Linked DNA regions of Macaca mulatta. The protein of the gene in region 3 purifies or fractionates together with the protein of the main gene of each other region. This does not show direct contact. Links are inferred from orthologs where the notes say so. Each region holds a gene or a part of one and is shown on either strand. Other genes may lie near its edges.

Region 1 (3,496 bases), on a different chromosome or scaffold from region 3:
GATCTTTTGGGATTTAAGACATTAGGGATTTTGGTCTTTCGGAATTTTAGCATTTGAAATTGTGTCATTTAGGAATATGATCCAAACCCATTTGACATTTTGTTGTCAGAGGCTGTGCTGTGCATTGTAAAATGTTTACAATGTAAAATGTCCATGGCCTGCACCCACTAGCAGACAGTAGCACCTTACCCCAAATCATGACAATCAAAAACACCCCCAGGCATTGCCAAATGTCCCTTGAGGAGCAAAATCACCCTGTTCAGGACCACTGGCTTACATACATGGATTAACGAGATGGGAGGTAAAGCGCCATATAGTTTAGGACTGGAATGCCACTCTCTTGAGCATCAGATCCATGTTTCCTTCCATACCCTATGATGAAGACCTATAAATCATAAACACAACTCCCATCAACTAAGAGACCAACAAATGCAAGACACATAAATACAGGGAAACTAAAGAATTCTTTTATTTAGTGGGAAAGAAGTAGGTAAATGACAGACAGCTCATATTCTGTTAAACAGAAAAAAAAAAGAATACAAACATCACAGTGATGAATTTTCACAAAGCTAATAGATTTGAACTACAGAGCAATGGAATATTTACAAGCAAGATGTCATGGTATTAATGACCAAAGTGCATCCAAATAGGTTTTCTAAGCTCAAAAACATTTAAAATCTCAGACTTAAAATTTAAATCTATATATAACAATTGTAAGCACACCACTCAGTCGTTTAAAACTATTCAGTGACTGCTACTCCTGCGTAAATATTTTTTTCCTAACATTATTTTTTTTCTCCCAAGATTTAGAATGTCACATCTCATGTTCCTACTAGTCATCACACACAGGATTAAAAAAGCCCAAGCAAGAAGTATTTTTTTATAATGTGTTCTTAAAAGAAGAAAGAAAAATTAAATGTGAACATTTTGTACAATAGTTGCTGAAGAACAGCAAAACCAATTCCGAAATATCACGTGTACTATACAAAAAGGTGTGGCTCACGGAACCAAGTATATAACACTACAGCAGTTGAATATCAGTCTTTAAAGGTTGGTAATATTACATCCTGTACACAGCTCTGTGTCTCTCTACCTGGCTAGCGCATACCCAGAATCTGTCTGCTTTTTAGCTGGTAATTTTTTTCAATATCTGACAGGGCTTGAGCCCGCAGCTGGGCAGCATGAAGCCTTTTCTTCAGATCCTTGCACTTGGACTTAGACGTGAGCTGACTCTCAGAATTCTCACTCCTCATGACGTTCTCTTTACTTTCCCCACTGAAATGAACTTTCTTCTTAATTACTGAGGATGGAAGATTAAGAAGTTCTTTAGAAGGAAAAAGAAAAAGGGCTTTGAGTTACTTGAACAGAGTTCAACTCCTTCATACTTATACTTATCAAAAAGTATTTGCTCTTATGGTTCACATTTGAAATCTAGGTACCTGTTTTATTTTCTCTGGGATGGGAGGTTAGGGGTGTAGGACCGGCAGAAATCAGCCTTTTAATCCACAGCATTGAAAAAATATTGGAATGTGCCGAAATTCAAGGAACATAAGTTTTGTTCTCTTAACAACGAACAATCAATTTTACTCTTAAAGTTAAACACACTGAGTATTATGGACAATATAAAACTTTTGGAAATCAATGTTATTTATCTCTATCCTTGAAAATAAGTGCCATTCTATGCAGAACACCTTACCTACAGAAAAGTATAGAAGCACAGTTTGTGGTTTTTTTTTGGTTTTTGCTTTTTGTATATATTTTTTAAAATAGAGAACACCTACAGTTTTGGTTAAATGTTCAAGAACTTAGTTCAAAGCATCTTAACTGACCAGAAATTTGTCTCCAAAAAACCTAAACAAATTCGGTGTGGAAAACATAAATCAAGTAAGAGTAGTAAAAAATGTAAACTATTCTTTTCATGGAAAAAATAAATAATAATCTTATTTACTTAAAGTGGCAACACTATTAACTGCTGACAGAATTAGTAGGGGCTGGAGGCCTAAACAGATTCTAGATCTTTTTATTTTTCCTCTGTATGTTCAAATATTTATTGAGCTCATAGGATGGGCCACTGTGAACCAAACAGGCCCTATTCTAGTAGGAGGAGATAAACCAAACACAAATAAACAAGTACTGGTGGGGAATATTTGATGGTAATATGTGCTATTAGGAAAAATAACCCTGGAAACAGGGACATGCTGGGTGGTAGGTGTAATGATACAAAGCCTCATACGGTCATTTCTGAAGTAAGAAGCCACAGGGCTATCTGGATGAAGAGTGCTCCAGGCAGAAGAAATAGGAAATGCTGGCACACAGATGCACTGCCTTCCAAGGGTCCTATGAATTCCTGCTTCATACATCGCTTCTGCTTCAAAGCAAACTGGATTGCCTTTAGACTTTATCTCCACTGTTTCAAATCTATCCACCTTCTTATTATCACAAATACCTATAGATTTGTAAGTCAACATTGTCTTACTGACGGGATAGTTTTGTTTTTGTTTGAGATGGGGTCTTGCCATGTTGTCCAGGCTGGAGTGCAGTGGCTATCCACAGGTGCAGCTGTAGTGCACTACAGCCTCGGACGCCTGGGCTCAAGTGATCTTCCTGCCTGAGCCCTCAGAGTAGCTGGGACTATAGGTGCACCACCACACCTGGCTCTTAATGGGATAGTTTTATAAGAAAAAAGTGTTTTTAAAAAATGTTTAAAATTCTTCCATTAAATAGAATAATGACTATTTCATCAAATAAGAAAAGAAAAGTTTTAAAAAAAGATACTGCTGCTTGCTGTGATGATTTCAATACACTTGTGATGGCTTCCTCATGTGTGGATTTTATAGCCCAAGGATGGGGAGAGGATATTTCCAACTGTCCTGAGTTCAGAATAGTACCAGCTCCCCACTGCTATGATGCTTATCTTATAGCTCTGATGTGTTCACTACTTTCAGCACTCAATACTCTAAAATGTCTGCTTGCCCCAGTGGATACTTGATTCCTATGGCTCATTTTAAATACTTGCCATGATTCACATATAAGTAGATTCCCATACTTATCTGTGTATCCTATAAAGTAAAACACATCATGCTTACTTAGCTATTTTCATCTTTTGCTCAAAGACTATCAGGGCAAATGTAAATAAACTCTTTAACTGAAAAGCCATCCCCAACAGGGTCTTAAGTAATTTCCTGCAATGGGTTTGATGCATGAAATTCATCCAGTATAATTTTCTCCTCATTTTATCACCCTAATCATGATTTAAGTATACTTTGTCTTTATGGATGACAGTGTGGAATCTATGAAAAGCCAAAATAAATATGTTTATAATATTGAAATGGTAGATGGCAATATTGAGAAAAAAGAAGGTATCTTAACAGAGATCAAGCCAAAGTTTCATACAATCTTTGTTTCATTTACTTCTATCAGTAGTTTCATTTCTTTCCATCACTTGTTCACTACAAAGTTATTGTGATCATCAATCTAACTTAAGTAGGGTTTTTTG
Region 2 (3,567 bases), on a different chromosome or scaffold from region 3:
CTCCTAAATAGAGGGCCCGTGAGTAGCGTTTGCTATAGAAGCTGTGACAGCTGGAGACAACAAAAAAACAACAAAAAAACCCCAGAAGTTATTTAAGAGAAGACTACAAAGAAACTTCATCCAAAAATCATATTGAAGGCCCTGAACATAATCCTTATTCCAAACCACACTTACAGTTTTAACCTATGATATTAGTAGAAAAGCAAAACAAACCAAAAAATCCACTAAATATTTATTTTTAAGGGGAAATCTTGATACAGAAGGGACAAATTATGAAAAAGAACCTATGATCTAGATATTAGTTATTAGCAGAGAGGCATTAGGAGAATTTGTAAAGCCAGGTTAATAACAAAGGAGCATCTTCTGGCCCCATCACTGATGGCTCAGTACTAAGCACAACGCATTCACCAACTCAGTTAATGCTTAACCCTAGAAGGAGAGGTTATTAGCCCATTTTCCAAATGAGAATACAGACCTAGATAGATAAATAATGCATCCAGAGTCATAAACCATGATTTGAATCCAGGACTGATTATCCTTTTAAAAATATATACATATACTTATATGTGTGTGTGTGTGTGTATATATATATATAGAGAGAGAGAGAGAGAGAGAGAGAGACAGAGAGAGAGAGAGAGAGAGAGAGAGAGAGAGATTGAGAGAGAGAGAGTCTTGCTACACTGCCCAGGCTGGTCTCAAACTCCTGGCCTCAAGTAATTACCTCTTTTAATTTTATTTATTTATTTCTGAGACAAAAACTCACTCTGCTACCCATCTGGAATGCAGTGGCACGATCTTGGCTCACTGCAACCTCTGACTCCTGGGTTCAAGCGATTCTCCTGTCTCAGCCTCCCGAGTAGCTGGGATTACAGGCGTGCGCCACCATGCCCGACTTTTTTTTTTTTTTTTTAGATGGAGTCTTGCTCTGTCACCTAGGCTGGAGTGAAATGGTGTGATCTTGGCTCACTGCAACCTCTGCCTCCCAGATTCAAGCAATTCTCCTGCCTCAGCCTCCCAAGTAGCTGGGATTACAGATGCCTACCACCGTACCTGGCTAATTTTTGTATTTTTAGTAGAGATGGGGTTTCATCATGTTGGTCAGGATAGTTTCAAACTCCTGACCTCAAGCGATCCACCCACCTTGGCCTCCCAAAGTGCTGGGATTACAGGCGTGAGCCACCGCACACAACTTTTGTATTTTTAGTAGAGACGGGTTTTGCCACGATGGCCAGGCTCGTCTCGAACTCCTGGCCTCAAGCAATCCGCCTGTCTCAGTCTCCCAAAGTGTTGAGATTACAGGCATGAGCCATCATGCCTGGCCAGGCGATTACCTCTTAAACCTGAGCTTTCAATTTATATTCTCTTCAGGAGCAACCACAATCTCTTAATCTACTGACAACTGGGGAGAAAGAAGGCATAATCATACCCAGAAACCACCCACGGTTCTGCATGCTGATCAGAGATATTGAAAAGGCGGCATCCAAGGTTCTCAACATCCTCCAGCCGCCCTTCTCGTGCCAATAGGTAGCCATATACATCCATTCCTAGAAAAGGAGGACACAGAAGAGGTGTTTTAAGCAGAGAAGCAGGGGTCCCACATACAGGAGTAGCACCCAATATCAGACCCCATGTTGAGGCCCCAGCTCCTGCAGGGGCTAAGCCCTTTACACCATCACAGGCTCCTCCCACTACTATTTCCAGTTTCCTACAAAGTGACTATTAAAATGCAAAACCCAGGCCAGGAGCAGGGGCTCACACCTGTAATCCCAGCACTTTAGGAAGTCAAGGCAGGTGGATCATGAGGTCAGGAGATCAGGACCATCCTGGCTAACACAGTGAAACCCTGTCTCTACTAAAAATACAAAAAATTAGCCGGGCATAGTGGCACGTGCCTGTACTCCTAGCTACTTGGGAGGCTGAGGCAGGAGGATCACTTGAACCAGGAAGGCGTAGGTTGCAGTGAGCCGAGATCACGCTACTGCATTGCCTGGGCAACAGACTGAGACTCTGTCTCAAAAAAAAAAAAAAAAAAAGAAAATGCAAAACCCAGCTGGGCATGGTGGCTCACACCTGTAATCCTGGCACTCTGGGTGGCGGAGGCAGGAGTATCACCTGGGCCCAGAAGTTCAAGACCAGCCTGGGCAATATGGTAAGACCCTGTTCTCCACATAAATTTTAAAATATTAGCCAAGTGGTTGGGTGTGGTGGCTCATGCCTGTAAACCCAGCGCTTTGGGAGGCTGAGGCAGGCAGATCACGAGGTCAGGAGTTCGAGAACAGGCTAACAGGTGAAATCCCATCTCTACTAAAAATACAAAAATTACCTGGGCATGGTGGCGTGTGCCTGTAATCCCAGCTACTCAGGAGGCTGAGGCAGGAGAATCGCTTGAACCAGAGAGGCGGAGGTTGCAGCGAGCCGAATCACACCATTGCACTCCAGCCTTGGCTACAGAGCGAGACTCCATCTCAAGAAAAAAGAAGGGCCAGGCGTGGTGGCTCATGCCTGTAATCCCAGCACTTTGGGAGGCCAAGGCAGGTGGATGACGAGGTCAGGAGTTCAAAACCAGCCTGGCCAAGATGGTGAAACCCCGTCTCTACTAAAAATACAAAAAATTAGCTGGGTACAGTGGCAGGCGCCTGTAATCCCAGCTACTCAAGAGGCTGAGGCAGGAGAACTGCTTGAATTCGGAGGGCGGAGGCTGCAGTGAGCCGAGATTGCACCACTGTACTCCAGCCTGGGCGGCAGAGTAAGACTATGTCTAAAAAAGTAAATAAATAAAATAAAATAAAAAGAAAAAAAAATTAGCCAAGCACAGTGGCACATGCCTTTGGTCCCAGCTAGTCAGGAGGCTAAGGCAGGAGGATTGCTTGTGCCCAGGAGGTCAAGGCTGCAGTGAGCTATGTTTGAGCCACTCCAGCCTGAGTGACAGAGTGAGACCCTGTCTCTAACAACAAAAACAAAACCAAAAACCAAAGGAGGCTGGGCATGGTGACTCACGCCTATAATCCCAGCACTTTGGGAGGCCGAGGCGGGAGTTCAAGACCAGCCTGGCCAAGGTGGTGAAACGTTGTCTCTACTAAAAATACAAAAACTTGCTGGGCATGGTGGCACACACTTGTAATCCCAGCTACTCAAGAGGCTGAGGCAGAGAACTGCTTAAACCTGGGAGGTGGAGGTTGCAGTGAGCCGAGATCGCGTCACTGCACTCCAGACTGGGCGATAGAGTGAGACTCTGTCTCACAAAAAAAAAAAAAAGACAAAACAAAAAAACAAAGGAGCAGAACAACCTACCTCACAATTTGAAAGCCTGCAATTTTCAGGAAGTGTTTGCCCCTCTCTCCTGTGGCGTGATATACAGCTACCCGAACCCAACCCAACCAGAAAAGGCCCAAAAAAAGGCATCAAGTAAGGTTCCTCTTTCAAGAGTTCTAGACCATCAGAAACATGCTGCTGAAAAGCCAGTCAGTCTCAGAAAAAGTTGGCCTATTCCCAAAAAACTTGTAGTTCTATCCAAAATGTAGTTCATTAAAGATCACCACCTCGGCCAGGCGCGGTGGCTCAAGTCTG
Region 3 (4,216 bases):
AAAAAAAAAGATGTAACCCCTGCCCTCCAGGATGTCACAGTCTAATAGGTAAACAGCCAAAGAGACGATTATAGGGTGATCCGGGCTATGACCTATGACAGAGGGAAGTCAACACTGCCAAAGAGACGAGGTAAGGAGTTGGGGTGTGGTGGTACAACAGGAAGCTACAACTGGAAAGATGTAAGAGCAGACAAGGGGGAGCAAAGGGTATTTCAACAAATTTATTATTCTAGAGAATAGACAGAAAAATAAATTGACTGGTAAAGAAATAACCACCAAAAATCTATAGCCTAACTGATCCCATGAGATTAAAAGTAACATGAGAAGGTTTTATGCTATCTTATCAAAAGGTCTGGGTTTTGTGGCTTCATTTTGTTTTCAGATAAAAGGTTTGGTTCTTAAGTCACATGTGACTGCAGAATCCACAAAGTATGTCTCAGTTTGATCATTTTCAAAAAGAAACACTTATCCCGTAACTGCCACTACCTGACTGTAAGGACAACAGATGATAACTTTCTCTAAGAGAGTGAAATGATGTTTTATCCAAAATTCCTTAATAATAATAGAATGGCTCAGCTACTCAAATCACTGGAATTACCACCATTCTTCACCACTTGCTGCTGGACTGTGGGCATTTAAATGCCAAGCATCGGGCTGACCGCAGTGGCTCATGCCTGTAAATCCCACTGCTTTGGGAGGACTGCTTGAGCCCAGGAGTTTGACACTAGCCTGGGCAACATAGTGAGACTCCATCTGTCCCCACAAATTTTTTTTTTTTCTTCAGACCAAGTCTCGGTCTGTCACCAGGCTGGAGTGCAGTGGCGCCATCTCGGCTCACTGCAACCTCCACCTCCCAGGTTCAAGCGATTCTCCTGCCCTCGGCTTCCCAAGTAGTTGGGACTACAGGTGCATGCCACCACACCCAGCTAATGTTTGTATTTTTAGTAGAGATGGGGTTTCAACATGTTAGCTAGGATGGTCTCTTGACCTCGTGATCCGCCTGCCTCGGCCTCCCAAAGTGCTGGGATTACAGGCGTGAGCCACCACACCCGGCCCACAAAAAATTTAAAAATTAGCCAGGCATAGTGGCACATGCCTGTATTCCCAGTTATTCAGGGGGCCGGACGTGGTAGGATCACTGGAGCCTGGCAGGTAGAGGCTGCAGTGAGTGGTGATCATGCCACTGTACACCAGCAGGGCGACAGAGCAAGACCCTGTCTCAAAAATAAAAATAAAAAATAAAATAAATGCCAACACTCACAAAGTATTACAGTGAATAAAATAAGGTATTGCCTTTTATGTGGCAAATGACCTTCCTGATTACTAGTAAGTGATGTTAGAAAGTTCTACCTAAATATCTTTGTGAAAACAAGTTCTAAAAGGCAAACAACTCTATCATTCTGAGAATATCCAAGTGGAATGAAATCACTTAAAAGGGTTCCCACTTTGAGCAACTGCTGTTTCAGAAGCTAGAGTCACAGTAGATAATCAAACTCATGTTGGTAATAAATGAAACAGGCCAGTTTTCTACTGGTTTCACTTTAGGGCATGACTGTCCCTGCTTCCTAAGTTACTCTAAAACAGGGCAAAACCCACTAGATAACTGCCTTTGGTGAAAAGACTAACTCAATAGTGAGCTGACTCTGTAGAGTCAAAGTTCGGCATGCTAGCATTTTATGAGATTTGTAACAACTGAAGTTTAAGCCATACTTTAAAGCTCATCCTTAATAATATATGAGTTTTTTAAAAGCAGAAATTATGATGCTTCGAGAACACTAAAGTGTCTTGGGATGAAGCAGGGGGAAGAAATCTAAGTTATTAGTCTTAATATGAAGCATATACAATCCATAATAAAGCTGTTGGTAAATACATGCAAAATGTACTGTCCTCTGCCATATAGTACAAGATATCTGCTAGGACAGCAAATGAAAATAGACTTGTATTGAGCCCTCCTTTGGGCCTGGTATTGCAGGGAACAGATGCAGACAGAAATATACTAATCCCTGACTTCAAGGAGCTTATGGCCCAGTGAGGGAAAACAAAAGCAAACAGACAATTACAACAGAGACTAACAGTGCTTATGAGAGAGGTTAGCACAGGAGGATGAGGTTGAGCCTAACCCAGCTGGGGGCTGGAAGAAGTAAGAGTTAGCCTGGCAAAGAAAAATAAAGGACTTTTCTGGCAAAGGGAACACTTGTGTATAGGCATTGAGATTAAAGATAACCCAGCAGTGAAAGTGGAGAGATAAGCAAGGACCAGCTCACAAAGGACCTCATATGCCATGCTAGGGAATTTGGAATTTATTCTGTAGACCACTGAATAATTTAAGTCTTATTAATGGACATCTAATACCATGTAGCAAGGCCACACTTAAAAATACATATGGGGCTCCTACCATGAGCTAGATGGTAGGAAATGGTGATGCAAACAGACATGATTTCTGCAATCAATCACTGGCTGGGTGCAGTGGGTCACATGTGTAATCCCAGCACTTTGGGAGGCTGAGGCGGATGGATCACTTGAGGTCAGGAGTTGGAGACCAGCCTGGCCCCAACATGGCAAAATCCCGTCTCTACTAAAAACACAAAAATGACCCGGGCATGCTGGCATGTACCTATAGTCCCAGCTACTTGGGAGGCTGAGGCAGAGGTTGCAGTGAGCCAAGGATCATGCCACTATACTCCAGCCTGTGTGACACAGCGAGACTCCATCTCAAAAAAACACAAAGTTGTATTCATACCTCCAGGTCCTTTCGAATGCTCTCAAACTCTTCAATGTCATCAAGCTTTAGCTCTAGGCGTGTTGGTTTTCGTCTCAGCATACTGAAGTCAACACTAAGGGCCAAACCCAGTGAACTATTAGCTGATAAAAATGAAAGAGAGGAGGAAAAACTGAAGGTAATAAAGTCTCAGATACAAAACATAAAATCAGTTTGCAAGCCTGTGTACTAAAGTGAATGGAAGTATTAAAACTTTATTTGAATTCACACAGACTTCTAAAGTCTTTTTAAGAGATGGGATCTTGCTCTTTGCCCAGGCTGGAGCACAGTAGCATGACCTTAGCTCACTACAGCCTCAACTTCCTGGGCTCAAGCAATCTTACTGCCTCAGCCTCTAGAGTAGCTGGGACTACAGGTGTACACCACCATATCTGGCTAATTTTTGTGTTTTTTGTAGAAATGGGATCTCTCTCTGATGCCCAGGCTGGTCTCAAACTCTTGGGCTCAAGTGTTCCTCCCTCCTCATTTTCCCAAAGTACTGGCATTATAGGCAAGAGCTACTATACCCAGCCAACTTCTAAAGTCTTTAGGTATATGATTATTACATTTTTATTACATTATGGAGATCTACAGCTCTGTAAAATCAAAAACTCTTTCAGTAAGAATTTAAAATAGCAAACTATCACTTTAATCTCATGTTCTAGTCACATTCAAAGAAATACTCTAGCTAAAAGAATAAACTATCACATCTCAGTATAGTTAGAGGGGAAAGTGGACAAACCAGTGAATTTAATCTACTCTACGTGAGAACTGTCAGAGATTTGTGATCACTCCTGAATGCTAAAATCAGTTTGCTAAATCTCATGAAGACTCCAACTCACCAATTCACAGGATTATCCTCAGCGTCCAAACAGATCCTAAATGTGTGTACGTCATTCATTAAACAAACACTTCTTGTGCTCCAGCTACAGAATTAAAAGGTACAGTCATAATCTGTGGGGAAAATAAAGAAAACTGTGATATCATATAACGAGAACCCTAATGAGGATACTGGCACTGGCATCACACAGGCACCTAATCCAGTCTGGGCTGAGTGTGGGGTGGACAAGGATGTCAGGCAAGCCTTCCTGGAGAAAATGATATCTTAGTTGACTTCTGAAGGGCAGGCAGAGAGAAGAGTGCACAAGGAGGCTCAAGACCAGCTTTGGCAACATAGCAAGACCCTGTCTCTACAAAAAAGTAAAAAAATTAGCTAGGCTGGTAGTGTGTACCTGTAGTCCTAGCTACTCAGGAGGCTGAGATGGAAGGATCACTTGAGCCCAGGAGTTTGAGGTGGCCACAGTGAGCCATGATCTCACCATAAGACCCCAACTCAGAAAAAAAAAAAAAAAAGAAGAAGAAGAAAAGAGGTTCAAAAGAGCATTCCACAGCCTGAAATCCCGAGGTAATACTGTGTTAACAAAAACCATTTTGTTTTGTTTTGTTTTGTTTTTGAGA

What was found.
Region 1: the proteins of CDC26 (region 3) and NEK2 purify together in Homo sapiens (affinity purification with mass spectrometry; 3 studies listed by BioGRID and IntAct, with this or other methods). This does not show direct contact. The link is inferred for Macaca mulatta from reciprocal best matches to the Homo sapiens genes CDC26 and NEK2.
Region 2: the proteins of CDC26 (region 3) and ANAPC7 purify together in Homo sapiens (affinity purification with mass spectrometry; 5 studies listed by BioGRID and IntAct, with this or other methods). This does not show direct contact. The link is inferred for Macaca mulatta from reciprocal best matches to the Homo sapiens genes CDC26 and ANAPC7.

What each region holds. Positions count from the first base shown.
Region 1 is NC_133406.1:69,400,966-69,404,461, forward strand, and holds the end of NEK2 (serine/threonine-protein kinase Nek2), read right to left. Parts: intron 1,325-3,496; coding exon 1,098-1,324; 3' UTR 526-1,097; downstream 1-525. UniProt on the Homo sapiens protein: Protein kinase which is involved in the control of centrosome separation and bipolar spindle formation in mitotic cells and chromatin condensation in meiotic cells.
Region 2 is NC_133416.1:117,550,596-117,554,162, forward strand, and holds part of ANAPC7 (anaphase-promoting complex subunit 7), read right to left. Parts: intron 1,545-3,567; coding exon 1,427-1,544; intron 51-1,426; coding exon 1-50. UniProt on the Homo sapiens protein: Component of the anaphase promoting complex/cyclosome (APC/C), a cell cycle-regulated E3 ubiquitin ligase that controls progression through mitosis and the G1 phase of the cell cycle.
Region 3 is NC_133420.1:45,041,174-45,045,389, reverse strand, and holds the start of CDC26 (anaphase-promoting complex subunit CDC26), read right to left. Parts: upstream 2,822-4,216; coding exon 2,741-2,821; intron 1-2,740. UniProt on the Homo sapiens protein: Component of the anaphase promoting complex/cyclosome (APC/C), a cell cycle-regulated E3 ubiquitin ligase that controls progression through mitosis and the G1 phase of the cell cycle.